3 linked regions of the Rattus norvegicus genome follow. The protein of the gene in region 2 interacts with the protein of the main gene of each other region in a pairwise test. Links are inferred from orthologs where the notes say so. Each region holds a gene or a part of one and is shown on either strand. Other genes may lie near its edges. The genes, in order: Rbfox1, Atxn2 and Sh3gl3.

Region 1 (9,942 bases), on a different chromosome or scaffold from region 2:
GAAGGTTGAGAACCACTGTTCTAGATCCACAGCAAAGTGTTACAGGAGCCCATTCCTCCAGCAACAAGTTCAGAGTGTGGGAGACTCCTTTCCGAGGCTCCTCCCAGCTTCTCTGGCTTACATCTTGCCCTTTTGGAATGGGAACGCCATCATATTTCACTGAGCAAGTAAGATGGCAAAAATACCAAGGACGCTCTCCTCTCAGCCTGGCAAAGTCTCTGGACAGAGCCAACTGGTGTTTATCCAGCTACAGTCCCACGTCGGTCATTGGAAGTGTCCACCTAACAAGCATGTGCCCTCCCTCTCTCGACTCCCAGTGTATGCTTCTGTTTACTGCTGGATCTCCCAGTAGAAGAGAAGGTGCTTGCTCAGCAAAGCCAGTCTAAATCTGGACTCCACCACTGATATTCTTTGGGACCTCAGTATTTTTATTCTCACTCTCTGTGTACCACATTCTCCATGTACAAAAGGTGAGTTGAAATATACGGCAGTGATTCCCAAACAGAGAACTCTGGAGTCACCTGTCATAACTTGCATTGTTGTTTTGTGCTATTTTCTGTTTTCAGAAAGGTCAGCAGAGTCTGGGGCAACACCCTGGCACCAACTCATAAACATTCCCCCAGCAAATACATGAATATTATGCTGACGGGATAGTTGCGTGTTTGCCATTTCCAGTCAAGCCTTACTATTCCTGGGTGAGATTTGGTCTTAGGCCTTACCCTTTTGGTTTCAGAACTTTTTGGAATTGAGAATTTTTTGGAATTGAGTATTGGTTGGTGAACAAATACTACTCATTAAAAATTAAGTTACTGTTACCTCTAAGACATTAGCTCTGGACACACGAACTTCCTTCCGCTATTGTTACAGTTTAGGAATGGTCTACTGTTTCTTCCACTAGGCTGGGAATGAGCAAGTTGATGGTGGTGCTGTTATTTTTGCCTTCCTGGGGCTTGACAAAAGTGGATTTACAAGGATCTATAGGTGAACGGACACCTGGGAGACTCCTAAGACTGTTTGTTCCCTACTCTTTCTCTAAGACAGAATCTTTTCTTGTAGTGCATAAAATCTTAGCAGGATTGCTTAGTGATCTGTTCATTTGTTTGGTAGGCAGACAGATATTCACAGCCTAGGAGGCCATTGCAGATGGATCCCACCTTCCTGTTGCTCAGGTAACTCTATAAATGGAAGCCCTCCTAGGGATTTAAATTACCATGTGAAAAGCTGGAGCTATATAGAATTCCTTGAGGCCTGCTAAAGAAAAGTTACTTCCTTAAAGCCACACAGAATCTAAGTTTCCACCTCTGGGTGGAGACCTGGGGACCAAAGCCTTATGTTCTATCTTCATTCTGTTTTTACAACTCAAGCCAAGTGGGCCTGTAGGTCATCTGACCAGGAGCCCACCCCACCAACCGAAAGTGGACTTAAGAAGAATCAGACTGATTATCCTTAAATAAGTCAATGTGCTGATCCCTCCCAGATTGTATCAGCTGCTCAGAAAAGAGTAACTTTCTTTCCACCGTTTCTTGAACAATCCACCAAAGCCTAAGCAAGCTTTCCCTGACATTCTGGGCTTCTTCATGGATTCTCTGAAGGCCGGCACTGGCTCCCCTCCTGTCCACCCCACCTTCCCATCAGGCAGCTGATTGCTGTCCCCTTTTCTCAACATACCAACTTCCAAGGACCTCAACTCAAAAGATGGGGTTTTCTCTTTCCCTCTGCATTTCTTTCCAGCCAGCAGCTGCTCAGATTCACAACTTAACCTATCCTGTTGTTTTTCTTTCAAACCCTGGTAAACACTGTCCTGGAGATTCCTTCTGAGTCCCCTTTTAAATTCTTTTATTAATAAGACTAAGAACTCCAGAAGGAAAGCGTGTTTATATGGTACCATCCTTTCTTTAAAGGGTGTGTTGGTTGTTTTTCTGTACTACCAGGTAAGCAATACTGTGTGTCAGCATGCACAGGGATGGGCTTCAAGCATCTTCAGTCAAGTATGTGATGTACTGTGATGATATCTATCCACTCACTCTCCCCTCCCTTCCACTCTTGTTAGAGCCAATCCCTTTCGTGGTGGCTTCATTACCACTTCTATGCCCTATGCCTGTGTGTACATTTATGTGTTTAACGTCAAACCCTGGAACAAATGGCTGAGGTGCCTACTTAATATATCAAAGCAAACCTGGCCGCTAGGTTCTCCCAGGATCCCACAGTCCCTTCCTTACCTGTTACAAGGTATGGCTGGCATACTCTGTCCTCTACCCCAAACTCTCCAGCCCAGGGGCTGGGTTGCCCCTCCTCCTGAGGCTCTTCCCTATATAATCCAGCCATTTTGGATACTCACCCTTTTTATAACCTTTGCCCTCTTGGCTGCTACACCTGGTCCCCCTCCCCCTCCACACCTCCCCTAACTCTCTGGCTCAGGGCCATGTCCACGCTGGACTCTCCCAGATGTCTTTGCCTCTGTTTATTCTCTGCCTTTTATCTATAGGAGACTTTCTCCTTCACTACATCTAGGAACAGACATGTCCTTCCTTTTTATTTCCTTTTTTAATTCAGTATGCATATGTCACTATATGCATACATATACATACATATACATATAATCTAGGATGCGCAAAGGAGAGAAGGCATCTCTGTCTTTCTGATTCTGCTGTATCTTGTTTAATCTGATAATCTCCAGTTCTATCCATTTTCCTGCAAATGATATCATTTCAGAAGCCATCATTTTTGAGGCGTACAGGGACCTCAAAAGAGTCACTGTGTTTAGGAGTGAGGCTGCTTCAGTCATATGTCCAGGCAGATATGTACATCAGGGCTATAGATCTATGCTTGCTCCACAAAGCCGAGAAACACTGTATTCAAAGGCTAAGCAAACACACAAATGAATTATGAAGTCCCTGTTCTGATTTTATCATTTGTCATTGTATGAGCACGGTCCATGGCTTAAGTAAACCCTGTTGTTAGCATCTGGATTCAAGAGTGACTTTGCCAACGACCTTGACCTCTTATAATAACAGTAGCTCAGTCAACTCAGTGGTAAACCAAGATGGCACTTGGAATTCAAGACAAAAGAGAGGTCCCAAGGAAATTACTTGGGTCTTTCACCCTAAGACACCAAGACTGGGCTCATGGTCTGGCTGCACTGTGTGCTCAATAGCATCATTTTGTTCCCTGCTTCCTTTTGAGTTGTTAGTACCTGTGAAACAATGCAACCTGGTTTAGCCTCAATCTCTACAGCCATTGTGTGATTATCTATGTAGTTAGAGGAAAACAAAACAAGCAATCATACTTATTTATCTGCATACTGGATAAGTTTCGACATAAGATAATGGGTGAATGGGATACAATATGGTAGACACTGGCTTTCCTGAGTAATGGAAACCTACCAATGGAAATCTCATGTTAACTATGGGACTGACTTTAAAGAAGAGTCCATGAGAGGGACCTAACTAAATGTGCATCTGTAAGCACTGACTGCAGCATGAGTCTGGTGCTCTCTTAAAACTTAAAGATGCAAATTATTTTTTCTTTAACTGCACAAAAAATGAGCCATGCCGGCCCACATTTCAAAAGTGTCTCAGATATCAATTCAAAACAGAATATCTTTGGCCACAGAACTGTTGACTGTTGTGTTTGGGAAGACTGTAAAATTGTGAACAGTACCTCAAGCAGCTTGCCAGAGGCCCCTGCACATAACCACTGATGCTGTTCCCAAATATACAAGCACAAGGGGTCGTAGCAAGGACGAGTCCACACTCCCGGTAGTTTAGTTGTCTTGCTGACATTACTAAGTTTCTAAAGAAATTTGAATCCTGGCAGAAGGGTCTTTATTCTTGACTTGGGTGAAACTCCCTAAGGCTAAGTGCCAAGGTAGCTAGGGCAGGAAGTGGAAGGTGAAAGGAGAGCTAGGCTTTCCTACCCCTTTCTATCACACCACATCCTTTTCTTATGAACAGAACTGCAATGGGAGGTGTTGTAGTTTCTTCGAGTCAAGTGGTGTGGCCTCCACAAACAGCAAGACGGCTAGCACCTCCATGTGCACAGCCTTGCAGTGGAGTGGGTCCCAGTAGCTCATCAGAGGCTCCTCACTGACACACTCAGAAGAGCTTGTAGGTCACTAGTTCAGAAGTTTTCATTTGGGAAACAAATGAGAATGGATCAGGTTAACATTTGCAAGTAAAATAACTTGTTCCATTCCAAACTAACCAGTTATGTTTCTCGAACATTCTGCCAAAGAGGAAGAAATAGTGCCTTCCCAGCTTCTCTGTTGGCTCTGGCGTCTTCTCATCTATCATTGGGGTAATACGTTCAGAGTGGCATTTTGTAATGACAGAAACATCCCAGCAAATCGATAGTTATTTAATTCCCAACAAGCTCTCGAGTCCATTAAACCTGATTACATTCACCCATTTCGGTGGGTACCGTTATTCTCCTGCACCAGCACTTAATCTATAACAGGAACTTATGAGAACTTTCAAAAGCAATTTCAGCATCAATCAGCATGGAGTGAAATGAGCGATTTGCTTGTAATTATTTATCGGATAGGGCAGCACAGGGGCCGACAAAACTCCAGCCTTTGACCTTCACCCCAAATTTCCAACAGAAGCAAAAAGCACTGTAACTCTGCTTCACCCTCACGTCCCAAGTCTCATGTCACCATCTGGCCACAAATTCTTTTCCTTGTTGTCAGGACTATTCTCTGCCTGGCCTATTTACCTATAATATAGAAGTGTAGCAATAGCATACATCCAGGGTCAATGGCAGTTCTGGTGTTGTCTGGACTAACTGCTGGATAGATTCCACCACCCAGCTTCTGACAGTTAATAAAAAGTCACAGTCACAGTCACAGTCACAGTCACAGTCACAGTCACAGTCACAGTCACAGTCACAGAACAAGAAGAATATTTGTTTGGGATCCTCCGCAGAAGTCGTCATTAATGAATTGGTCTTGTAGAACTCTCAAACAGAGAGTGTTGGGTAGGGGTAGTACGACAGGACAGAAGCTAAAGTGTCCTGCATATATTTAATTTTCCTTTCCCACAGAAAGGAGATTTAGAATTTATTACCCAGGGCTGGTTATTTCCAAAGAACAGCAACAAATAGCCACTTGCTTCCTACAATGACCCACTTCTATCACAAGTGGATGTCGGCTTTCCAGAGAACTGCAGGCATACACCCAGAAGCAACGGGTTTGAGTGACAGCACGGCGGTACAATAAGGCAAAGAAACAGGTCCCAATTTCTCGCTAGCACATGAACCTCTCGGCACACAGAATAATAGCCTTAGCAGTCAAAACAACAGGCATTCCAACTTCTCCCTGGCTGCCGAGAACAGTTGGCATGGGGTTTCCAGAGTCACCCCTGAACTTCCTAAAGAAACCATTCTCAATGTTCTCTCTTGTTTGTGGGTCACCTCTCAGATTCAGAAGGGGGAGCCTCTCTGCAAACAGACAACCTGTGTGGGGTGTCCTCCGTAGCACTGTAGTTCCTGCCCTTCGGTTTCCGGGGTTAAAGCCTTTAAGCAAGCCACAACATGATAAGTTACTGAGCCTCATGATCTGCTCTGGGAGACCCAGTCCCTCAGAAAGCTGGGGAAGAGAGCAAATCTTTTGCCCCCTGGTCAACCTCCCGAAGCAGAGGCATGAATGTTAAACAGCACCCAGATCAATACAAGCAAATACAGCTCAACTACACCATTTATTCATCCATGAGAGATGTCAATAGCCAGATTAAGGTGATCCATCTTTTTGATTTCCTACTGTCTTTCCTTTGACTACACGAGGGCTGCCTTTTTTCTCTTCCTGTATTAAAAGTGTTTGCTTTCTCAACCATAAAAATTCCAATTATTACTCAGAGCACTCTGGAGTTAAGTTGCTTGCTGGCAAAAGCCATGAATTACCTGCATCAGTCCCGGGAAGAAGGGGGCAGCAGGCACAACCATAGGCACGCCATAAGAATGCAGAAGGACTCCTTGCGACGCCAACATGCTTTAAATGGAGGCTTTATTCCCTCCAAGGCTGAACACATCAATAGAGAGTTAGAGGGGGAAAGAAATCTATAGACCCAACTTCTTCTCAACTACAAAGCCGAGAGCCAAATCGCTTCTGTCAGGAGCCAAGTGCTCATCCACAGGCGGCGGAGAGGGGAAAGGAAAGAAAATCCTGCATCAGCAACTCTTAATGTGAAAGTTTTCTTCACAGACAAGGAAGGGACGCGGCAGCTGCAGGGTCGGAGCTACCAAAATGGAAGGAGCTATTTTGGGAGCAGCTCGCCCAACATGACTAACCAAATACTCTTCATTAATTTAGTTCTCAGACCGAGGGAGATGGAGTGACAGGGAATCAGGGAAAAAGAAAAGACATTTGTCCTGAGGAACTGGGCCAAATTGCAAGGGGCTGGGTCTACATGAGATTTTTAGAGAGAATAATGAATAGAAATGTGTAAGCTTACAGGACAATCAATTTCAACTTAGAAAACTTAAATCTTTACCTATATAAACCATCACCGGAGCCTAAGTTTAAGTTCTAAATTGCAACTGATTGTTATGTAAACTTATGGACTATCATATATGTATGAGGACCCAAGTTTGGATCTCCAATGCCCGTGTATGAAGTCAAGCAATGTGGCATACACGTGTATTCCCAGCACTGGGAAGACGGAGACAGGAGGATCCTGGGTCTCACCTGTGAGCCAGCATAGCCGAACAGAAAGTTCCACATTCAGTGGTTCAGTGAAAGACCCTCTCTTTACGTAAGTAAAAAGCAATAAAGGAAGATACCTGGAGATCACCCTTCGACATTGCACATACATTTTCATTCTTATACTCATCCCCCCACAGTTATGTACAAAAACCAAACCAAACAAAGAAACAAGAACAACAACAAGAAAAATGACAGCAAAAAACCCACTCAAAGGTAGCAGGTTCATGTGGGCAGCTGATCAAAAATTACCTAAGAATAATCAGTATGTGGTAGCAAATCTCAGTGGTCCTGGAACTCAGAGGTGGGTATAGGAAAATCGGGAGCTCAGCTGTATAGCAAGTTTTAGGCGAGCTTGGGCTACACGAAACTGTCTCAAAATATTTGACTCACTTTCCTCCCCTTTTTTCACTCGATTTCAGTTTGAAGAGGCAATTCATAGCTAAAAGGAAATAATAGCAGAAGTCTGAGTAAATTAGTTTTGTGGGTTATTGCACTCAGTCCTTCCACATCTCTGAAGCAGGGGCTAATCCCGGACCCAGGAAGCCAAGTAACCATGAGGAACCCGAACGCACGCTAGTCAGCCACTTTGCAGCCAGTAGGAGGCAGTGCTGAATTTAAAATACCTCATACACAATCCCTAGTTGTCTTGCTGGATTGCACTGTGACTTGTGATCTAGAAATGTGTTAGCTATCTTGGGGGCCACAGAGTAGGTGCAGACTTGCTGGTGCTGTGTTCATGTGTGAAGGGATTTCACATGGCTTTTACATGTGTGTCCCAGCTGTGATACATGAATCTGCTATATATTAAACAAAGATGAATTCCCTCCCACCACCCTCGCTTTCAGAGATGAAAGGTGTTGAGGAGTATGCAAAGTGAAAGCTGGGGTGTCCCTTTCCTAGCTCTACCGTCTCGAGCAACTTCATTTGCCTCGTAGACTCCAGATCTATTTGGGCATGTAACAATGTCAGAATATCTCGTCACCTCCTTGCAGTGTGCAATAGAGGGAGTTAATCACCACCGGTTCTGCTCTTCCCCTCACAGTTGGTATTCACCCATCTTTGACTTCAGATGTGAGGGCTCAGATGATGATCAACTGGCATGTTCCCACTTTTCATACCAGGAAATATGTGGGCATAACTAGCAATCTGGAACTCTCATGAAGTAAGGGCTGAAGACAATTGAAGATGGCCTTCATAGGGCCTGGCAGATAGCTCAATTGGTAAAATACTGAGGAAGCTCGAAGGCCTGGCTTCAGACACCCAAGACCTCTGTGATAAGCATGGTAGGACCATCCTACAATGCTAGCACTCATTATGCATAGATCAGAGGATCCCTGGGGCTCATAGCCAACTAGTCTTGAATCTGTGACATTTGTATGCAATGAGACACAGTCTCAAAAAACATAAAGAAAGGAATGTAAGAAGTTACCAGACATTGACTTCTGGACACACACACACACACACACACACACACACAATGTCACCTTCAAATCAGACACCCCCTTGCCACAAACCACTTTTCTCTCTCAACAGGATGCACAATATAGATTTTGTCAAAATGATGATGAGCGAGAACTTCAGACACCACCACACCATACCCAACTATTGGCTTTCCCTAAGCCCAATGTCAATTCGTCCACTTTCAGATAGCCAAGGTGTTTTTACACTACACTAATTTTAGTTGCTTGATTTAGCTACATAATTACATTTCTAGATAACGACAGCAGACAGGGTTTGGCAGAGAATTCAATTATTTAAGGCTGGAGGTTTGGCCATCTTGACAAGGTTTCTCTGTAATTGATTCACATGCATCGGAGTGGCCATGTTGTGCAATCCCGAAAGCTCCTGGAACAGCTGCACACTGACCCATCTCATAAGACTGCCCAATACCGGTTCTAACTTTAGCTTCTCACCATGACTTTCAAAACCAGATTTCTGAGAAGTTAGCAGCAAGGACAGACACATTACCCGAAACAGGTATGTTTTCTAGTTGACTTCCCGTTGACAACCAAGACACAGAGGCACTCCTCAGTGCTGAGGGAAGGTCCCAGGCACACTGAATTACAGCTCAATGGTATTATAAAGTGCAAAAGCTGTGGTGGCAGAAAGCAGGACGCACAACTTATTCATTTAGAGCATAAACTGACGTATGTACATCTTGAGTACACAGATGTAGAAGAGTGTGAGGGCAAAGTTCTGCAGGTGCTTTGGCAACTTGGGAATTGTATAAATGTGACAGACAGACCAGCAAAATTGGGACCGGAGAGATGGCTCAGCAATTCAGGGTACTTGTTCTTACAGAAGACCCAGAGCATGACCCTAGCACCCACACAGTGACTCACAATGATCCCCAATTCCAATCCTTTTGATCTTTATGAGCACCAAAAATTCACATGGTACACATACATGCAGGCAAACCCTACACAGAAAATAAAATAAAAATAAATTAATACACAAATACAGCATATTATCACATGGATCACTCATGTATAGCCACAGTTTTATTGAGGAACCTGCTAGTTCGATTTCAGTTGACATGGGAATGTGTCACATAAGGGGCAGAGTGACAGAGCTATTGATGACACATATGGTGTTTTCTTCTTTCTTTTTGAGGAAACTGTGCTATAAAATATTTGCCGTCTCTGCCACTATCTTCTTTCACCTCTCAAAGGCAACTCTTTTCACTTTTCCTGCCAGGAAAGTTAGCGTCCAATGGGATGCTGAAAATCAGGATGGGATATTCTCCACCTGGCAGCCTTTATGGGCCGCAGCTGCCTATCCCAACAACTGCCAGTCCTGACCACAGTGACCGCCATTGTCTCTGGTTCTGACTTTCCACTTACACATTATTCTGGTATGGTTGCAATCCCTACAGTATTCTAAGCCAATAACAAAAAATCGTGACCGAACTACCGCTATTAAGTGAATTATATGAAGCCTCATTTTTTTTTCTAACAACTGCTTAATTTTCCCAAAGTACATCTTACATTAATACGTTATGATTTTTTTTTCTTGGTTCACTAACTAGAAGGTATGCTACATTTTGTGTAGCTTCACATTCTCCAGAGCTTGGCGTAGACACTTGGTGAGGTTATGTATCCAACACTCAATATTAAGCTCATGATAAAATTTACAAACTTATAATCAGAAAAAGACAGTGAGATAATAAAATACAGAAAACGAGATGGTGCAGATAGTGGCTGAAAGCACAGCCAACGGCCCCACATGCCTTGTGTTCAAAATGA
Region 2 (9,880 bases):
ACAGTTGCAAGCTGTCATGTAGGTGCTGGGATCTGAACCCCGGCCAGTACTCTTAACCACTAAACCATCTCTCTGGACCCTGTAAATATAATTTTAAAGTAAAGTGTTTAAAATGAGAAGTGTAGGGATGGTGGTATACCTGAATTCCCAAAAGTGCTTGTGAGGCTGAAGCAAGGCCAGCCTAGGCTACATTTAAAAAAAGATGTGGGGCCTGCCATGGTGCCTGAGGCAGAGGCAAGAAGATGTACACTGCCTGTTCAAGGAGTCCCAGGCAAGCTGGGCAGTAGAGGCCTCTAATCCTAGCACTCAGGAGGCAGAAGCAGGCGTATCTCTTGGAGGCCAGCCTGGTCTACAAAGCAAGTTCCAGGACAGCCAGGGCTATTACAAGGAGAAACCCTGTCTCAAACAGCAACAACAAAGAAACCCAAAACTAAACCAGGCTTGATAGTGCCTGTCTTTAATCCCAGCACTCAGCAGGCAGAGACAGATAGATCTCTGTGAGTTAAGAGACCAGCCTGGATTACACAGTGACAACCAGGACTGTGAGAAATGTGTAAGATATCCTCTCTGAAAGAGAATACAAAAACAACAACAAAGGCTACAAGTCAGACTTGAGAGCTGACTCCTTCATTAAGAGTGCTTACCCATGGGGTTGGGGATTTAGCTCAGTGGTAGAGCACTTGCTTAGAAAGCGCAAGGCCCTGGGTTCGGTCCCCAGCTCCGGAAAAAAAAGAACCAAAAAAAAAAAAAAAAAATGCTTACCCAGCTCCCAAAAAACCCAGGTCAGTTCACAGTACCCACACAGCAGCTCACAACTGCCTCTCTCCAATTCTAGGGGATTCAGTGCCCTTGTCTGGTTTCCTCAGGACTCCTGCACACATGTGATACACAAGCACACAAGGTCACACATACACACATAAATCTTAAAAAGTACTTTTAAAAAGATGTCTAGGGCTGGGGATTTAGCTCAGTGGTAGAGCGCTTACCTAGGAAGCACAAGGCCCTGGGTTCGGTCCCCAGCTCCGAAAAAAAGAACCAAAAAAAAAAAAAAAAAAAAAAAAAAAAGATGTCTAACCTATAAGCCAGGAGTGGCACATGCCTTGAAGCCCAAGGCTACAAATAGTGAGAGTTTTGTCTCAAAACAAAGAAAGCAAACAAGGGCTGGAGAGATGGCTCAGTGGTTAAGAGCATCGACTGCTCTTCCAGAGGTCCTGAGTTCAACTCCCAGCAACCACATGGTGGTTCAAAACCATCTGTAATGGGATCTGATGCCCTCTTCTGGTGTGTCTGAAGACAGTGACAGTGTACCCATATACATAAAATAAATCTTAAAAGAAAGCAAAGCGGATGCTGTCCATCACACCACTAAACCCTCTCTATGAAGTAACCCATGATTCACCAAATAGGATGCAGCTACATTGGTACAATGTGTGCCCAGCATGCAGATAAGCCTGAATGACCACCCCAGCACTGCATAAATGAGGTGCACACCTACAATTCCAACAGCCGGGTGGGGGGCTAGGGAGTCAGACCAAAAGTTCAAGGTCATTTTCCCCTGCTATTCAAAAACAAAGCTGAACTCAAAAAAATAAATACATGGTTGGTTGTGGCCAGGTGGCTCAGCGGTTAAGAGCACTGTCTGCCCTTGCAGAGGACCTTGTGTTCAGTTCCCAGCATCCCTTGACCACCCTAACTACAGTTCTAGGGCATCTGACCTCCTCTCTGACTTCCATAGGCACCAGACAGACAAGAGGTATGCACAACAAATTGGTTTTTTTCCAAGACAAGGTTTCTCTGTGTAGCCCTGGCTGTTCTGTACAACAGGCTACCTGTCTTTGCTTCCCCAATGTTAGAATGTTAGGTGTACATCACCTCCAAACTGTAAATGTGTATAGCCCAAGCTGGCCTGTAACTCATGATCCTCCTCCTGCCTCAACCTCCTTCAGCTAATCCTACCACACACTTCACCACCAGCTAACTTGTTTTCCCCAAAAGTGATCATAAACTAACAGCTAATAACACAAAATGTCTAACAGTTTTTTTGAACAGCCTGAAAGTTTTAGAACAGTTCCTTCAGAAATCCTGGATCTGCACTGGCAGTGTACACTACAGGCTCCAAAGCGTCTTCACATACAGTCTGAGTAAAAGCTCAAGTAAAGGGCTGGAGAGGTGGATCAGTGGTTAAGAGCACTGACTGCTCTTCTAGAGGTCCTGAGTTCAAATCCCAGCAACCACATGGTGGCTCACGACCATCTGTAATGAGATCTGATGCCCTCTTCAGGTGTCTGAAGACAGCTACAGTGTACTTATAATAAATAAATAAATAAATAAATAAATAAATAAATAAATAAATCTTTAAAAAAAAAAAAAAGCTCAAGTAAAACTCAAATACAAGGGCTGAAGTGGTTAAGAGCACTTATAAGTCTCCTCCTTACAGAGACCAGGCTGACCTCGAGCCCCAAAGATCCACTTGCCCATCTCTAGTGCTGGGATGAAAGGCGTATGGCACCAGGCCTGGCATTTGTTCCCCTTGCAGAGGAACCTGGCCCTGTATGGTGGCCTCACAACTCTCCCTGACTCAATCCCAGGGATCCAGAGACCACTTCTGGCCTCTGTGGGCACCAGGCACTTTTAATATGCACACATAACACTCATATACAGAAAAACAATCTGAAAATCCAAAAAGAAATAAGAGGGACAGGATGAATGCCTCAGGGGTGAAGAACACTGGCTACTCTTGCAGAGGACCCAGGGATTCCAGCAGCCACACAGTGTTCACAGATGTCTGTAACTCTAGTTCTAGGGAATGCAGGGCCCTCTTCTGGCCTCTGTGGACACTAGACGTGCATACAGTATATTTACCATGCAAACGGGCAAAGCACTTACATATATAAAATAAATCTAAAGACAGCCATGACCAGGAAACACAGGAAAGCCATGTCTGTGAGGGACCCTGATGTTACACGCAACACTCCCCCACAGCATCCAACAAGTACATAGAGCCCACCCCTGAAGAGCTGCCTTCTTGGCTCCAGAACCCACTGAGCCTTCTGAGAAATAACATGGCACAGCTTATGAGAGCCATAAAACCTTAGAGTCCTTGACCTACTGAAACCACTCCTGGGCACCACTTTCTCTAGGGAAAAATTAGGATGAAGCAAAAAGCTTCTAGTGAAGAAGTTCACCTCACCACCACTACAAAACACAAACACAAAGAGCAAAGCCCCAGCCGTTGGGTAGAAACTTAGCTCAGTGCATAAGTTATTTAAAAAAGAAAGTCACCAGATTAAAGGGGAAGAAGGCTGCATCACACATGAGCACGACGTCACGAAAGGTCAAAGTCAAGAGTAAGTAGATTCGGGTGCAACTGTGGTAAGATTTTTAAAAAGTGATCACATACGGTTCTTTTCTAAGAAAGTGGCCTCTAAGTGATGATGGGAAAAAACTGTTCTCAAAAATCACACAAAATTCTGTTCACACAAAAATCAAGTCAGATCCAGGCTGGCTGAGTAGCAAAATCCTTTTCGAGCAAAAACAAGGCCTGGGTTGGGGTTCCAGGTTGGGGAGGGTCCAGAAAGGAAACAGTGCTTAAGGCGGCAGTAAAGTGCATTTTGCTAATTCAAACATGACAACATCAACGCCACTTTTCAAGTGTATTTATTGTGGAGGAGGGGACATGCCCTGGCAGGTGTGGAGGTCAGAGGACAACTTGCAGCAGGAGTCAGTTGCTTCCTGCTGTGGCAGCAGAGGTGTGGGAATCCTGGTTGACAAGCCTGGCCGCAAGGGCCACTGAGCCACCCCACCACCCGATGCTACATAGCCCTTCCACAGCCATGCTGCCAGCCCTACTTTAAAATGACACACACAAACCCAAGCAAAACTCTACAAGTTACAATGCATTTACAACCCTGAGGAGAGTAAGAACAGGAGGATGGCGTTAACCAAGGTTCTGTACAGAACAAAAGTACCCATTCTGAGCACAGGCATTGGACGAAGGAAACTTAAAAAGAAACCTATGCGCCAAGTAAGAGAACTTAAAGCAGGGAAGGCTCTAAATGCCCTTCCCTTTTGCAGAGCCTCAAAAGCAGAGACTGACAGGGGTCCTAATACCCTGCCCCTCCCTGTGGAGTCCAGCCAGCCACAGTCTAATGTTTAAGCCTACAGAGTAAGCGAGGCTCAGGAACTTTAATCTGTATTTGAACAAAACGTAAATGCGTGCCACTTCCTGAGAACCAAAGATTAAAACATGAAAAAAGCAAAGAAAAACATGTATCCTTAAAGTTAAATTTAAATATTTTTTCGTTTTTCACTAAAAGTCAAGGACGGAAAAGAAACTCAAGTTACAAACCCTAACTTCGCAGAACCGTGGAAATAGAATGATGGTTTAATTTGAACGAGGCGGGTTAAGAAGGGTTTGAAAGGCCTCATGCTTGGGAAAATTGGGAGTGTGGGGGAATAAAGTAAAACACATACTGTTCCCAGAAGAACTCCTTAAAACCCGGCTCTGATTCACCCTGCGGGTTAACTTCTGCTGTACAGGAACTCTCTGGAAATGGACAGCTGGACAATGGGGCTAAGAAAACTCCAAACAAGAAAACTCCCCTTGCCCACCTCCTAAGTCCTGGATGTCTATTTAAGGAGGCCCTGCCAGCCAGGCCTAGGCCAGAGGGAGGCACAGTAGTGCCTGTTACACAGGGACACAGGGGAAATGGACTTGCATGCCCTTGGTAAGCTCTGGCGGCGGCGTTTCCCAAGTTAAGGACACCGGCCACAATGGAATGGAGTCTATTGGCATTTGCCTCTCCGTTTTAACACTAAGCATTTTCTTAGTTCGTGAAATACGAACTGACAAGCACCCCCACCCCTCCCCACCCCCGCGCGCACACACCCTCCAGAGTCAAGCCCAGTCACACAGGACAGCACCCAGCCTCCTCCAGCTCCTACCAACGAAATCGGGCCCAGGGAAGGGGAAAGGGGGCCGAGGGCGCAAGCCAACACTCGCGTCGTTGCCTTCGGGACCCGCACCAACTCCTCTGTGGAGGCTCCTCACCCCTAAAAATTTCAGGAACTGGGACAGGGGTTGGGAGGGAAAATGAGCTGCGTGTCCGGTGCCCGCCGCCAACCCACCTCTCGAGTCCGGCCCTCGCCCACCTCTATTCAAAGGCGCCTTCTGCTCCGCGGACGAGAAACAGCAATGCGGATCGGCCACCACCCGCGCGCAGGGGACCTTGCGGGGAAGGAGGGAGGCGGGCCTGGAGGGAGCAGGGCACTCCCACCCCTTCCCCAGCTGGGGGAGGACAGCCCGCTGCGGGAACCCCGCCGCCCCAGATCTAAAGGGGGATGGGTGCGCAAGGCCGCTGGCCACCCACCTCGCCTCGGTCGCCCACCTTCCCAGGGTCTGCGAGGCGGGAATATGCAGGACACCCGGCTGACCCTACCTGGGGCGGCTGGGCCTCAATCTCCCCTCCTCCCTCCCGACTCCCCACCCAGCAGTGAGGCTCATTTCAGGAGAGGGTCCCCCTGCGACCTGCACCCTGGCTCAGCCGCTCTTCCATCACAGGCAGGGGACCCAGCAAGGGGGTGGGGCGGGGAGACCAATCGCCCCTAGCACACACGCGAGGGGCAGGGGGCCGCCCGGGCCGTCCATCTTGGCCGTCTGGGGGGAGGGGACGCGATGGTGCGGGAGGCTGGACACGGCCTGAGAAGCCCGAAGGATCTGCCGGCGCCTCCCGCCCCTCCGCGGGCCCCCGGCCCATCGCTACGCCGGCCGGTCACGGGGCGAGGCGGGGGAGGGGACGAGCGGCGCGGGATCGGCCAGGCGGGCGCGGAGGGGGCTGGGGAGCCGACACCCACCTGCCCAGGCCGGGACGCCCGCCGCCCGCGACCGCCGAGGAAGACGCCACCGGCGCGGCAGGGGCCGGCACCACGGAAGACGAGGTCGACGCGGCCGAGGCCGGCGCGGCGCCGGGCGACGAGAGCAGGCCGCCGCCGGGCTTGCGGCCACTGGCGGGCGCGGGCGGCTGCGGCTGCGGCTTCAGCGACATGGTGAGCGGCCCATACACCGGCTCGCACGCCGGGCGGGGACAGCCGGGAGCCGGGCGCGCTGAGGAGACGCCGGAGCGCGGCGGGGACGCGCGGACGCCGAGCGGGCAGGCGCGGGCTGGCGCGGTCGCGGGTGCCAGAGGCAGCAGGACGACGACGAAGGGGCGGGGAGGCCCGCAGACACCGAACAGCCGCCGGGAGCCGGGCCGGGACGCGCCGTTGCCGTTGCTACCAAAACAGTCTGAGGCGCAGGGCGGCGAGCGCGGCCCGCGGGGAGGGGCGCCGGGGCCGCGCGGGGGAGGGCCGGCGGAGGGATATGCTACCGCGCCGCCCCGCCCGCCGCGCCGCGCCGTCCGCGGGAGCGAGCGCCGCGCGGCCCAGCCCGACAGGCGGCGCGGCTCGGGGCCTGCCGCGGGCCGCTGAGCGGCGTCTGTCGACGGACGCATGGGAGCCGGGCTCGCGGACGCGTACGGGGCGACGCGGCCTGGAGGGCGCGGAGATGCGAAACAGAGCGGGGGGGACTCTTTACCGGAAGTCGGAAGGGTCAGGCGGAAGTCGAACGTGAGACGGCTCGGGGGCCGATCGGGGACACGTGAGGAGCGGGCGCAGCGCTGGGCCGCGTTCGCTCTCCGGGGTCGGGGTAGGGCCGTGGGGGATCCGCCCTCGCTGAGGCGGGTCTGCCCTTCGAGGAGGGAATGCTTGTCTTCGGCCGCTGGCCCTGCTTCGCGGACGGGCACCGTGGGCTGCCCGGGTGTCCTCAGCCCCCTTCGGGGACCTTGGTTTCCCCCCCACCAGATGCAACATAGAGGATGGCCCGCGGGCGCCTTCGGGGCGGAGACCTGCATTCGGGCCTGGCACACAGTAGGCCCCCAGGTGCCACTGCGTGCTTGGTTTCCCTGCCAGCGTGGGAAGCTTGCCACCACTGAAGCCACCGCCAGCTGCTTCACTTTGCCCCACTTTATTCACCCCAGCGAACTGTTGGGTATCTGACCTTCATTTGAACCCTTTTTTCCCCTCACTGGAACGTCTTACTCCTCCTTCAGGCGACTCCAAAGGGAAATGGACGTGATTGGTAGAGCTGGGTAATGGGGGTCTTACCGTGGATAATGGGGTCTCCCTCATTGGAGACCTCGCAAAAATGTCAACTTTAGACCTTGACCCCTTTTAAAAAGTTTTACTTTAACTCGGGAAGGCCACCAAACTAGCCCTTTTTTTTTTTTTAAGGTGTTGTAATTAAATTGGAAGCAAATGGGTAACTTTTTGCAATGAGTTTAGTTGGTTTTTTGGGTTTTTTTTCTTTTTGTTTTTTTAAGTGAAATTGCTTAAGGGGATGATGGGCAGAGGACAGCAAAATCCGAGTCAATCTATTAAAATCATTCCCGGGAATTAAAGGCAGGCATGGTGTTCATGCCTTTAATGTATGAATTTAGGAAATGGAGGCAGGATTAGCCGGTCAAGGTCATCCTCACCTACACAAGGGAATTCTCTAGGCCAGGCTAACCTACAAGAGACCCAGGATAGGGGTTAGGGATTTAGCTCAGTGGTAGAGCGCTGGCCTAGCAAGCGCAAGGCCCTGGGTTCGGTCCCCAGCTCCGAAAAAAAAGAAAAGAAAAAAATAGAGACCCAGGACAATTAAATGAGCAGTGAACCCTGGTTACGGCACATGGCTTTAATCCCAACACTGGACAGATACTGGATCTCTGAGTTCCAGACTTGCTGGGTCTACATAGATTAAAAAGTAGCTAGCAGACAGCTCAGAAGGTAAAGGCCCAAGCCGCGGAAGAAGCTCACCTTCTAACTCTTATCCCTGGAGATCACATGTGGAAGAAGAAAACTTGACTCCTTGGAATTGTCCCCAGATCTCCTCTCTTGGACTGTGCCAGTTGTGTGCCCACACATATATAAGCAATAAGTATGACCTTGGTGGTGGTGGTTTTCATTCTTGTTCTTGTTTGGTTTTTCGAGACAGTGTTTCTCTGTGTAGCCCTGCTGTTCTGGAACTCACATAAGAGCCACCGGCCTGCTGGGATCAAAGACCTGCTCCACTGTGACCAGCCAAAAATATGACTTTTAAAAAAAGAAAAATGTATCTGGGGTGTCAGTTTTAGAAAGGGAGCCTAAGGCGTAGTGGTGGCTCTCCAGCTCTACACCCCTGGTCCATCCATGAATAATTAAAAAGAAAAACTCAGCGTATTAGAGTCACTAGTATAGTCCAGTTGAAATTAAATTAACCTCATAGCCCAAATAAAAATTGTCACATTTGGGGCTGGAGAGATGGCTCAGCGGTTAAGAGCACCCAACTGCTCTTCCAGAGGTCCTGAGTTCAATTCCCAGCAACCACATGGTGGCTCACAACCATCTGTAAAGAGATCCAATGCCCTCTTCTGGTGTATCTGAAGACTGCTACAGTGTACTTATATATAATAAAATGAATAAATCTTTAAAAAAAAATTGTCACATTTGGCGAACACTTTAAAAAAGGTTGGGCTGGAGAGATGGCTCAGCGGTTAAGAGCACTGACTGCTCTTCCAGAGGTCCTGAGTTCAATTCCCAGCAACCACATGGTGTCTCACAACCATCTGCAACACAATCTGATTCCCTCTTCTGGTGTGTCTGAACAGAGTGACAGGGTACTCACTTATATAAAAAATAAATAAATAAGGGGTTGGGGATTTGGCTCAGTGGTAGAGCGCTTGCCTAGGAAGCGCAAGGCCCTGGGTTCGGTCCCCAGCCCCCCAAAAAAGACAAACAAACAAATAAATAAATAAATAAATAAATAAATAAAATCTTTAAAAAATAATTGTTATTGTTATTTCCTAAGAACATCGAGAGAGGGAAAGTTAGTCTTCCTAAATGTAGTGGGCCTTTATAAAGTTAGCCTGAAGAAACCTGACATGAATGCAAACCTTGAGGGGTTGGGGATTTAGCTTAGTGGGAGAGCACTTGCCTAGCAAGCCAAGGCCCTGGATCCAGGCCTCAGCTCTAGAAGAAAAAAAAAAAAAATTACATCTTTAAATGAATGCAAGCCTTGAATCCCAACCCTTCGGAGGTAGAGGTGGGAGGGAAAACAGTTCAAGGCCAACCTTGGCTACTAACTAACCCATTTTTACCAGCCATGTGAAACACTGTTTCCAAAAGAAACCAAAATAAGTAACAAGTCTAGTATTTGAAGCAGTGCTTGATTCCTAAATTGAAAATGAATTAGTAAAATGTATACTAATCACTAATACCAGGAGTTGCATGTTAAAGTTATTTTTGGTTTTGGGGTTCCCCCCCCCCCGAGCTGAAGACTGAACCCAGGGCCTTGCCCTTGCTAGGTAAGGGCTCTCTATCACTGAGCTAAATCTCCAACCCCTAAAGTTGTTTTATAATTTATTTTTACTTTATGTGCATGGGTGTTTGGCCTGCACATAGGTCTGTGGGGGGAGGGAGTCAGATCCACTGGAAATTTGAGTTAGAGACATATGTGAACTGCCATGTGGGTGCTGGGAATTGAACCTGGGTCCCCTAGAAGAGCAAGCAATACTCAAACCATTGACGGTTGAATGATCTTTCCAATACCAAGATAGGCTTTTAAATAACGGAAAGGAAATCGGGCAGGGAGTGGGGTGATGACAAAAGACTAAGAAAAGACTTATACAAACAGAACAGCCAAGGCCATGTCCCAAGCACACTGTGAAGGAGAGGATTTGAAGAAAGCCTGACTTTGTTAGATATATATGAAAAGGCCTGAGGACTGAGTCCAAGCCCCAGCATCTGTATATGTTAGGAGAGAATAGATTCCCATTACAGTTGTCTGCTGGCTGGCCACAGGTGCACATCCACACACATGAAACAC
Region 3 (9,942 bases), on a different chromosome or scaffold from region 2:
TCGGCCAAAGGAGGATTTTGTCTTTTTTGAGATAGGAGAACTCATATCTCCATGCTGATTAAAATGACTCGAGAACAAAGAAATATGCTGAAGAGGAATGCAGCCACAGGACCAAAGCCCCTGCAGTGATGAAAATGACAGGTTTTGGAGGCACTGTGGCGCAACTAGCCACCTGTATTTTGTTCCTTATTACACCAAGAGAAGCAGAGGAAAAAAAAAACAAAAAACCCCACCCACACATGAGCAAACAGGACCTCTGGTCTACTGAAGTGTGGCCTAGAGCAGAGCCATGAATGCAAGTCACAGAGCCTGAGACAGCCCCAGCTCTGCTACCAAAGGGCAGAGAGCAACCCGGGAAAGCAACAAGAATCATCACTAAAAAGCAGGAGCTCCCAGGAAAATGCAAGATGGCGCACGCCTACAACCTCGACACTGTGGTAGTGAGGGTAGAAGTTCAAGGTCACCCTCACCTATATAAAGAACTAGGGATCACACTCGAACTGTCTGGAAAAGGAAAGAGAACCAGGAGCTGAGTGAAAGACACCACCATGGGTGATGAGCTGGGCCTATGAGAGGCTGCTTCAGAGAGGCACTGGGAACGCAGGCATCTAAGCAGCTCCATGATGAACCCCTCCCGGCCCAACATGGCACTTCCTGGGTGTCAGAAACGCAGAGGTGGAAAGAATCTAACTGGCCACACTCTGCTGAGTTCCAACATCCACATCCATTTTACCTGCCACTGAGCTGACTAGAGAAGCATTGTGTCCATCTACTTACCAACAACTTCAGTTTCTGGGTCACCGTGTCCCTACACGGCACACAACCCTCCACATACTTCCTGTGGGAAATACAATTGTATTCAAAGTACTTAATAAAGCTAAAATGTCATCTAGTCAGGGAGTAACTCTCATTTCCAGTGTGCTTTAAAGTTAAATCCCAAAGGACACCCTGAGTTATAGTTTTATTTTCTAGAAGAAAATGTAAAAACTGTTTGCCTTATATTGGATCTTTCAGTTATTTAAAAAAAAAAAACTCCTAATCAATTTGGTTTGGACATCTATTCTAGGACCCTGGCTTTTAAACCAAAGTGTTCAGATTTATGGATTCATTTGTCAAGCAGTCTGTGGGAAAAGACAGCAAGAATGTTTTCTCTTCGATATTTTTTTCCAATGCATCTAAGAGAAAAAAATAAATCATTATGGATTTCGCAAAGTGCATTTTTATCTTTTCTCTAATGAGAAAGTGAAACAAAAGACATTCATTGTCTCCCTAGAGAAGCTAATCACTTACCAGGGCCATCTTCCTCTGAAGCAATGTCCTTAAATGGCCAGCCTCACAGGCAGTGTCTGCAGAGCATATGTCAGAGCCCCTGAAGCCTTTTTGAACTTGATGCATTAAAGGAGAGAGAATGCGTTACTAAAACGCTAACTTAAGGGCTTCCTCATCTCCTACTATGTTGTCAGGTCAGTCCTGTTGCATAGAAGCCACAAAGACGTAAATTCATCATGGAGCCTACATGACTCGGGAGAGGAAGAGAGGAGAAATGACATTGGTCCCTGGACTTTCTCGGGAACATGACCCAAGCCCCTAGGAGGTCAGAAGGTCCTGGAATGAAAAGAACGTGTCTATTAGTAGAGCATGCAGGCCTGAGCACCACCAGTGACTGTGTTAAGAGAAAGTACTAGGAAATAAAGCACAGCCAGTGAGACTCAGTGAAGGGCCACATGGGCACACCACCAGAGCGCATCTTTACTGCTCATGTGTTGTACTCAGCAAGAAGGCACAGTGGCAGCCCTGACCTCTGCATCTCCTTCCACCAACTCCACTCACATCCCTGAGGAAGAACAACTGGTTCTATTTTAAACTTCGGTAAAGAGTTTTAAAAGTGTTGGATGACAAACTCAAGAAACCTGGCACAATGAGGCATCATCTCCAGAGCTGACAGCTCATCTTCTGGGAAGCAAAGGGCTCTGTTCCTCAATGACAGAGAAGGATTAGGAAAGGAGGGGGCAGTCAGCCAGGACATCCCATCATTTTACCCTTCCATGCTCCAGACTCCCTGACTTGTAAAAGGTCCCTATTGTCTTTGTCTTTCTCTGAAACGTTTTAAGTAAATTATTTAAGAATTTCAGAACTGAGATACACATACACACACACACACACACACACAGAGTCTAGATGGATGCATGGATGGTCTCTCTCTTGTGTGCGTGTGTGTGCACACACGTGCAGGTATGTGTCTGTGAGTGTGTGTATGCATGTGTGGGTACATGTATGCACGTATGCATGTGTCTGCATATGTGTGTGAGTGTGTGCAACACTTAAAACTCACATACTATGCAGCTTATTTAAAGTGTACAATCAAGGGACTGGAGAAATGGTTCTATGATTAAAAGCTCTCAGCTCTTCCAGTGCAGTGGACACAGTAAGTACAGTGCTCAGTTCACAATACTCAGACTGAGTGGTTCACAACCACCTAGAACCCTAGTAGCTCCAAGGGATCCAACGCTCCCTTCTGGCCTCCTCAGGCACCCACACACTACATAGTACACACACACACACACACACACACACACACACCTTTTAAAAGTTAAAAGCATGCAATCCAATGTTTCTTTTAGTATATTCAGAATTTTGCAGACACTGCCCAATCACGTTTATCACAGGAACCTGACCTCTGAATCCTCTCATTCATCATACAGAGAGAAAGCCAAGGAGGCCCAGTTGGGTTAAGTCACGTTTCCAAGGTCGCAGAACTGATCATGGCAAGGAGCCAGCCTTGAATCCCTTGGAATTATTAACCACTGATGTCATTCGGGACTCCCTTTCCCTGCCCCAGGAAAGCTCCAAGTGAATTAAAGCCCGCTGTGGAAATGCTGTTTGAGAACATCTGGCATTTTTTATTACTCTGCTCCCTTGTATTAAATTAAACAAAACCTAATTTCTCCAAGCTGGTTGCACTGCATAATTTCTAAGAAAGACTTCTAGAAGTCTGAGAGCAGGGATGCGGCTCAGATAGGAGAGCACTTGCCTAGCATGCATGAAGCCCTGGGTTCAGTCCTCAGCTGCGAAACTATGCTGAGTGCTTCCTCCTGTCTCCCCGGCCCTGGAGAGGTAGAAGTGGGGTCTCAGAAGCTTATGATCATGCTTGGTCTGAGGCTAGACTGGGCTCTATAAGATCTAGATGCGGGGAAGAGAAGAACAGGAAGTATGGAAATATCTAGAACAGGTTTGAAACTTATCTGTCAGGTACTTTAACCACACAGTAATAAGTCCAGAGAGAGTCTGCATGCCTCTCTTTTCAAAAGAAGTACAAATGATGTCAGAGATAGGAAGGAAAGGTTTAGAGCCTAGGTAGAAACACACCTGCCCCCAAGGACAGTGATGGTCCCTGGAAGGTCTCATGTTATTTTGAACTGATTGGTTAGAAGGAATCAAACTAAGCCTCCTGTCACAGTAGACTTCCTCAACTCCAATAACATCCAAGGATTTCAATCACCCACTCTGCAACACGGTCACAAGCCATCCTGAAGTGCCTAGGGCTCAGTCTGGGTGATCACAAGACCGTTCCTATAAAGTTCATATCCAAGAAGCGGGGTGCATGTGCGTGTGCGTGTGTGTGTGCACGTGCGTGTGTGTGTGTGTGTGCGTGTATATGTGTGTGTGCGTGTAAAACAAAGGGCCCTATTTCCTGCCAGGGCTAAGGAAGACAATGTCACAGCATGGCCAGCAGTTATTCAAGCATGGCATAGCTCACAGAGGCTCTGGGACTCCTAGCTGCTCCAGCATTACCAAAGAAGTAGAAGCTGCCAGCTTACCCACCCTCTGTATGACTCGACTCCTCCCCGCCCCTCTCATGATCTTGTGATAGCAGTCATTCCTTCTGAACCTCACTATTGTTCATTTATTACACATACATTTATGGAGTACTCACTGCCCAGCAAGCACTGGGCTAAGCACTGTCCAAGTGTGGCCAGTGCCTGTGGTGAGAGTGGCGTCCCCTAGAGTTTCTCTTTAAATACTACTGTGTGTGACTCCACTAGCCTCTCTCCCATTTTAAAACGTCCATTTTAATTGGAATTTCCCCAAAATCACTACTTGCAGACTCCAGAGTAGGATATGCCAATAGCCCAAAAGCAAATGACAACTGAAATATCCCACTGGCGTTTTTAAGTACTAGAGATCCAAGAGCGAATCCAGCATCTCTACTCTCACCCAGCATGCCCCTCCTCCAGGATTTCTATCACCCTGAATAGCATCACTGTCTGCCCTATGTCTCCTGCTGGGAACAGCCATCACTTAGTTTCCTTGTGGACCAATTGTGACTGGGGGACTAGCAGTGTCTTTCCGCCTGGAATAGAGAAAAATAATTTCCTAAGGCCAGCTGCAATCTCAAGATCGATATGAGGGAAGAGCAGGAATGGGGAATGGCCACCGATGTGAACTCCATATACGATTGGCCCACCTGGGTTCTAGCTAAACTGAGGCTGGGAAGGAAATGAAGACAGGGCAAAAAATTCCGCAGGTGCCAGTGAACAGATTTTTACAACATGGGCTCTACCACTGCTGTTAGAGTAGTGTTAGAAAGCAAGTTTGCTTGTGATACACACACACACACACACACACACACACACACACACACTTTCCTGTGTCCCTGTTTCCAGCTTTTTCTACTCAGAAAGCCCTCCTCTTATAACAGTCTATAGCCACAATCCTTTCTGGAGCTTAATCCCCAAATGCCATGTCTTCACCTCCTGGAAGCTTCCCGTTAAGCTCCCAGAGTCACCTGCCACTCTCTTCCGCGGAGGTGTGTCTAGCACGGTTTGTTTACGTGTGTTTTTTGGGTCTCCTCATCACACTCTCTTTGAGAGCAGGAACCTGGTGCCAACCTCCAGCCAACCCAGTGAAGACGGCCAGCAAGGGAAGGACCACAGCGATGAGTCCCAACCTCGGGAAAGACTACCCAGCCCCAGCCAGGGGGCAAGTTCAGCGTCCGGAGGAATGGGGGTGGGGGAGGTTTCCCAACGGACAGACTGGAGATTCGGGTAGGAGGGAGGCCTACCACGGTCTTGGTCCCGAAGGATCTCCTCTCGGAGCTCATCCCCCAAGCCCACCACCTCCGATCCCTTGCCAGCCGAACCGGTCAGATTTACAACCGCCAGGGCGCAGCGGGAGACCCGAGACTCAGGGGAGGAGGCACCAACACGCGCAGCCCAGAGCGCGCGACCGCTACCCGCCCCCGCGCCTTCATAGGCGACCAGAAACCCAGACCGAAAGAGGACTGTGGAGACCCCGAGTCTATGGCCCGCAACCCCTTGGAGACGCCGCCTCCAGAAACCCCTCAAGCGCGCCTCCCTACCTGGCTGGCTTTGTGGAACTGCTTCTTGAGCCCAGCCACCGACATCGCGGCGGCGCCCCGCCCGGGGGTGGTCTCGGGGCTCCGCCGGGCCACGCGGCCGCGACGCTGAGCGGAGCGGGCACCCCGGGCGGTCGCCGCGCGCTCCACGGCCACGGCCACCGCCACGGCGCTGTCACACTGGCACACGCGCGCGCGCAGATAGCAACACGGTGTTTCGAGGCCCCAACGCAGCTCATTGGTCGAGCCGCGGCAGCATGCAAATGAAGCTGCTGGGACCGCCCACGCTTCATTGTTGCGTGGCGACCAGGATCTCTTGAGCCAGGAAGAGGACCAGTGGAAAGGCTGGCCCTGGGTTGTCCAGCCTCTCAGGACTTCTTTTGTAGGGCTTGGGATGCAGCTGGCTCTGCAATTGTTCTGGGCGAGAGGTCTCTCTGCTCTTCAGGGTCTTGGTGGGAAACCTGCTTTTACTCACTGGTAGCAAGATCTCCCCTCTCCAAACCCCGGCCCTGCTAGTTTAGATGTGTGTTGTGAGGAAGGAACGCTGGGATGTGCATCTCAAGTAGAGAAACATCACAGGAACCACAGGAACCCGGAACTATAGTTAGACGTGAGAAACCTGCTTGTGGACAGTTAGGTATGTACTTTAGGCACAGTCTGCCTGAGTGGTTTGGACCCCCCTGGGAGAGTTACCTGGTAGTTTACTTAATAAATTCAGTACTAGTCTCATAGGTGTGCTGAGCCTCTTATCGGCTACACCAAGAACCAGTCCATTATAGGTGCCAGAAAGAGGGTCTTCCATTCCACTACTTACCAGAGTATTGTTCAGACTGGTCTTCGGGAGAGTCCTGTACACCGGACCCTTTCCACAGGGTCTAGAGCTCCTACTGAACAGTATGTCTACCCAGTCACAGAAACGGACCTTGCATCAATTCTTGTGCCACCAACAAGTCTACTTTCCCTGAATCTGACCTTTCAAAGGCCCTGTGGCTCCCAATGCCTTCAATCCACTTCAGCGATGCTTCACACCAACACAAACACCATCCAACTTTCAGTCTCTACCTAAAAGGAATGGCATTCTGTGGACGCTTCCCAACGTCGGGTCAGGGGTCATCAACACTACTGTTGTCCTCAACGCTCGCAGTTCACACCTGTATCCGGGCTTCTCTTTGGCTCTAGCATTTCTCCAGAACCATTAGCTCCTGGCTCCCAGCCCTGCCTGACCCTTCATAGCTTCACCCTAATGTGACAGGGTGAGGACTCGCAGGTCTCTGTGCCTAGGTTTGCTCACAATGGCTGGGAAAGTGTGGTGTCAACAGTGTCCTGCCTGTGATATAAGAGAAGATGTGGACACCTTAACAAGCATCATGGGACAAGGTTATTGAATGTGACTCAACACTCTTGGTCCTAGCTAGCCAAGGGCTTGCTGACATCAGACAGAGGTAGATGATGTGATGATGGTGGATGACCACTGGGTCAGAATAGTACAGCAAAATGACCAGTCACCACTGCTGTCCCATCCACACTAAACAGGTTTTGGTGAAGATGGTCTCCCTTGTCCTGAACTAATCTATGTTTCGCTGCTGACCTCCTCTGTACCCGATAGAAGTTTAAACAGCACGGGCTAAACCTGTGCCCCCTAGGAGTCAGGTTCTTTTCAAAGCTGGTGATTGGCAATTTTTTTTTTCATGGCTGATAGTTTTATTAGGTTTGTGCAGGTTTCATTTGGCTTGTTCTGATTTGAGGGGGAAATCACAATTTGAAGGGAACTTTCCGTCCTAGGGAACAGGGCAGATTCCATTGGGGGCCATGGGAGCATAGGGACCACGAGACAGCAGGTCACACTGCATCGACAGTCAGGAAGCAGGGAGAGGTTCACACTGCCACCCAACTATTATCTCCTTTATCTCTTCCTGTACAGTCTTGGGCGCCAGCCATGAGATCATGGCAGCCATTCAGGGAGGTTTTTCCCTCCTGCCAAACCTCTCTGAAAACTCCCTTATGGGTACATCCAGAATGTGTCTCCTAGTTGACTCCAAATCCTGTCAGGTTGACGATGAGAATTCACCATTACGATAGCATATTTGCGTTTCCTTATGTGGTCATTTGTGATAATCTCTCTTCTTGGTTTATTCAAATGCGAACATGTAGATTGTTCCTTCCCATTTTTAAACTCAGGGATCCTTCCATTATAGACGCATTTACATGGTTTACTCATTTTTATTCTTGTTACTTTATAATAAGCAGATATTGAACTAACAATGGCTTGGGTTTTGTGCTTTGTCTTTATAAACAACATGGATGTTTTACTTGTTCTATAAAAATAATTTTTGGCCATTCGTTTGGTTTCTTTTTGGTCCAAATGTTATTCAAAAAAATTTCAAACTACTTTTGAGTTATTAAGAGCTTTTAAGTCAAGGTATGTTAGACTTTTGCTACTGTGATCAAATAGCATCTTGAAGATTTTTACACTTTACATATGTATGGCAGAGGTTTGAAATTGTGTGATTCAAGCTAGGAGTAGTGGCTCATACCTTTAATCCCAACACTCAGGAGGCAGAGGTAGGCAGATATCCGCAGGTTCAAAGCCAACCTAGTCTACAGATTGAGTTCTAGGGCAGCCATAATGAGACCCTGTGTTGTAGGAAGGTGGAGGAAGAAGAGGAGGAAGAGGGGGAAGAGGAAGGAAGGGGCTTAAGCTACCTTGGCCATGTCAAGGCTCTCCCTTAACAAAATCATCACCCATCAGCCACCCACATGCCTATGGTTCCTCCATTCAGAGAAGAGGTACATACATGCCTTTGACTATTAAACTGAATCTGCAAGAGGTGAAATATCGTTCTGATGGAGTCAGAAGAGTCTTGAGATACAGACAAGCACTCCTATGAACTGGAAGATGTTTGGGCACTTACTAGGGTTATGGCACCTCGTTGAGATAACCCATACTATGTTGTATGCCTCAGTGTTTCCTTAGGCATCTTTCCCATGTTCCTTGACTCCTCCCTGGTGCACAGAATACTGTGTTAGTTGCATCCACATTTCTGTATGTTGTCTGTGCACCAGCTTTGGAATCTGTGGGTACTGACAGCTCTTGTGTTTGGTCATGTGGACTCACATCTATCTAATGTCAGGGTGATGACCTCAAAGGATCCTGGGTAGATGAGATGGAGAGGGAAGAAAGCATCCTAACTAATGTTGTGAAATACTAACCAAGTCTTAATCTACCTTGCTAGGCCTGCCTTGCAAGTTAGCTTAAACCACATTGGTCATCTCAAGGGTTGCCCTTTACAACATCATTACCCCTCATCTACCTAAGGATGGATAGCTTCTGTTCAGCAGCCATATGCAAATACCCTTGACTACTGAAGAGAGTAATGGGGAATAAATATGATCAAAGTACATTTTACACATCTATGAAATATTACAATGAAACCTATTATTTCATAAAATTAATAGCCACTAATAAAAATAATGCATCAATTCAGATCTATGTAGCATATATAAAAGGTTGGAATATAAATATTGAAATAAAAAGAACTGCTAACAGGATGATATTGTTCTTTTATTTGGATAAAAGGAGCAAACATTCTCATGTTTGATTGACGACATGACAGTCTAAAACTGGAAGAATGCAATTGCTTTGAAGCATTTAAAGCAAAACTCTCAGATATAAGAAACAATAGACAGAAGCACATCTTTAGCAAAGCAATGGAGAACAAAATATCTTCTAGGCATTGATGAGCCAAGTATAAAAACATTGAGGTACAGAACATTTCAATATGCCCTGTTTAAGAGTCAAGGGCATTTGCTTCCTTTTGTTCTAGAGCTTTCAGGTGTACTACTAAGTTGCTAGTACAGGATATCTCCAATTTCTTTATGAAAGTACATAGTGCAATGTATTTTCCTCTTAACCCTGCTTACATTGTATCCCATAAGTGCCATCATTTTCACTGAATTCTAAAAAGTCTTTAATTTCTTTCTTTATTTCTTCCCTGACTGAGTTATCATTGACTAGAGTTGTTCAGTTTCCATGAGTATATAGGCTTTCTGTTGTTTTTGTTGTTCTTGAAGTCAAGCCTTAATCCACAATGACCTAAGAGAATGCATGAGGTTATTTCAATCTTCTTGTATCTGTTAAGGCTGATTTTGTGTCTTGTTATATGGCCAGTTTTGGTGAAGGTTCCATGAGGTCCTGAGAAGAAGTTATATTCTCTCGTTTTGGGTTTGTATTATGTTGTACATTTCAGTGTTTCCTTTGGTGTCTTCCTCATGGTCCTTGACTTCTCCTTGGGGCAAGAGGAGTAGAGGGCAGGAAATAAGCCAAACTAAGGACTAAAGTCAATGAATTAGAAACAAAGAAAACAGTACAAAGAATCAACAAAATCAAGAGCTAGTTCTTTGAGAAAATCATCAAGATAGATAGACTCAGCCGACTAACTAACTAAAGGGCACAAAGACAGTATCCAAATTTTAAAAATCAGAAATGAAAAAGGACATAACAGAAACTGATGAAATTAAAAAAACAATAGATCTTACTACAAAAGGCTATATACAACAAAACTGAAAAATCTAGGTGAAATGGACAA

What was found.
Region 1: the proteins of Atxn2 (region 2) and Rbfox1 interact in binary tests that used the Homo sapiens proteins (3 or more experiments, as listed by UniProt). The link is inferred for Rattus norvegicus from reciprocal best matches to the Homo sapiens genes ATXN2 and RBFOX1.
Region 3: the proteins of Atxn2 (region 2) and Sh3gl3 interact in binary tests that used the Homo sapiens proteins (3 or more experiments, as listed by UniProt). The link is inferred for Rattus norvegicus from reciprocal best matches to the Homo sapiens genes ATXN2 and SH3GL3.

The regions. Positions count from the first base shown.
Region 1 is NC_086028.1:8,993,181-9,003,122, forward strand, and holds the start of Rbfox1 (RNA binding protein fox-1 homolog 1), read right to left. Parts: upstream 6,212-9,942; 5' UTR 5,983-6,211; coding exon 5,896-5,982; intron 1-5,895. UniProt on the Homo sapiens protein: RNA-binding protein that regulates alternative splicing events by binding to 5'-UGCAUGU-3' elements. Regulates alternative splicing of tissue-specific exons and of differentially spliced exons during erythropoiesis.
Region 2 is NC_086030.1:40,503,388-40,513,267, forward strand, and holds the start of Atxn2 (ataxin-2), read right to left. Parts: upstream 6,045-9,880; coding exon 5,854-6,044; intron 5,817-5,853; exon of another isoform or gene 5,152-5,816; intron 1-5,151. UniProt on the Homo sapiens protein: Involved in EGFR trafficking, acting as negative regulator of endocytic EGFR internalization at the plasma membrane.
Region 3 is NC_086019.1:145,530,351-145,540,292, reverse strand, and holds the start of Sh3gl3 (endophilin-A3), read right to left. Parts: upstream 5,539-9,942; 5' UTR 5,405-5,538; coding exon 5,360-5,404; intron 5,282-5,359; exon of another isoform or gene 5,102-5,281; coding exon of another isoform or gene 5,063-5,101; intron 1,386-5,062; exon of another isoform or gene 1,300-1,385; coding exon of another isoform or gene 1,291-1,299; intron 1-1,290. UniProt on the Homo sapiens protein: Implicated in endocytosis. May recruit other proteins to membranes with high curvature.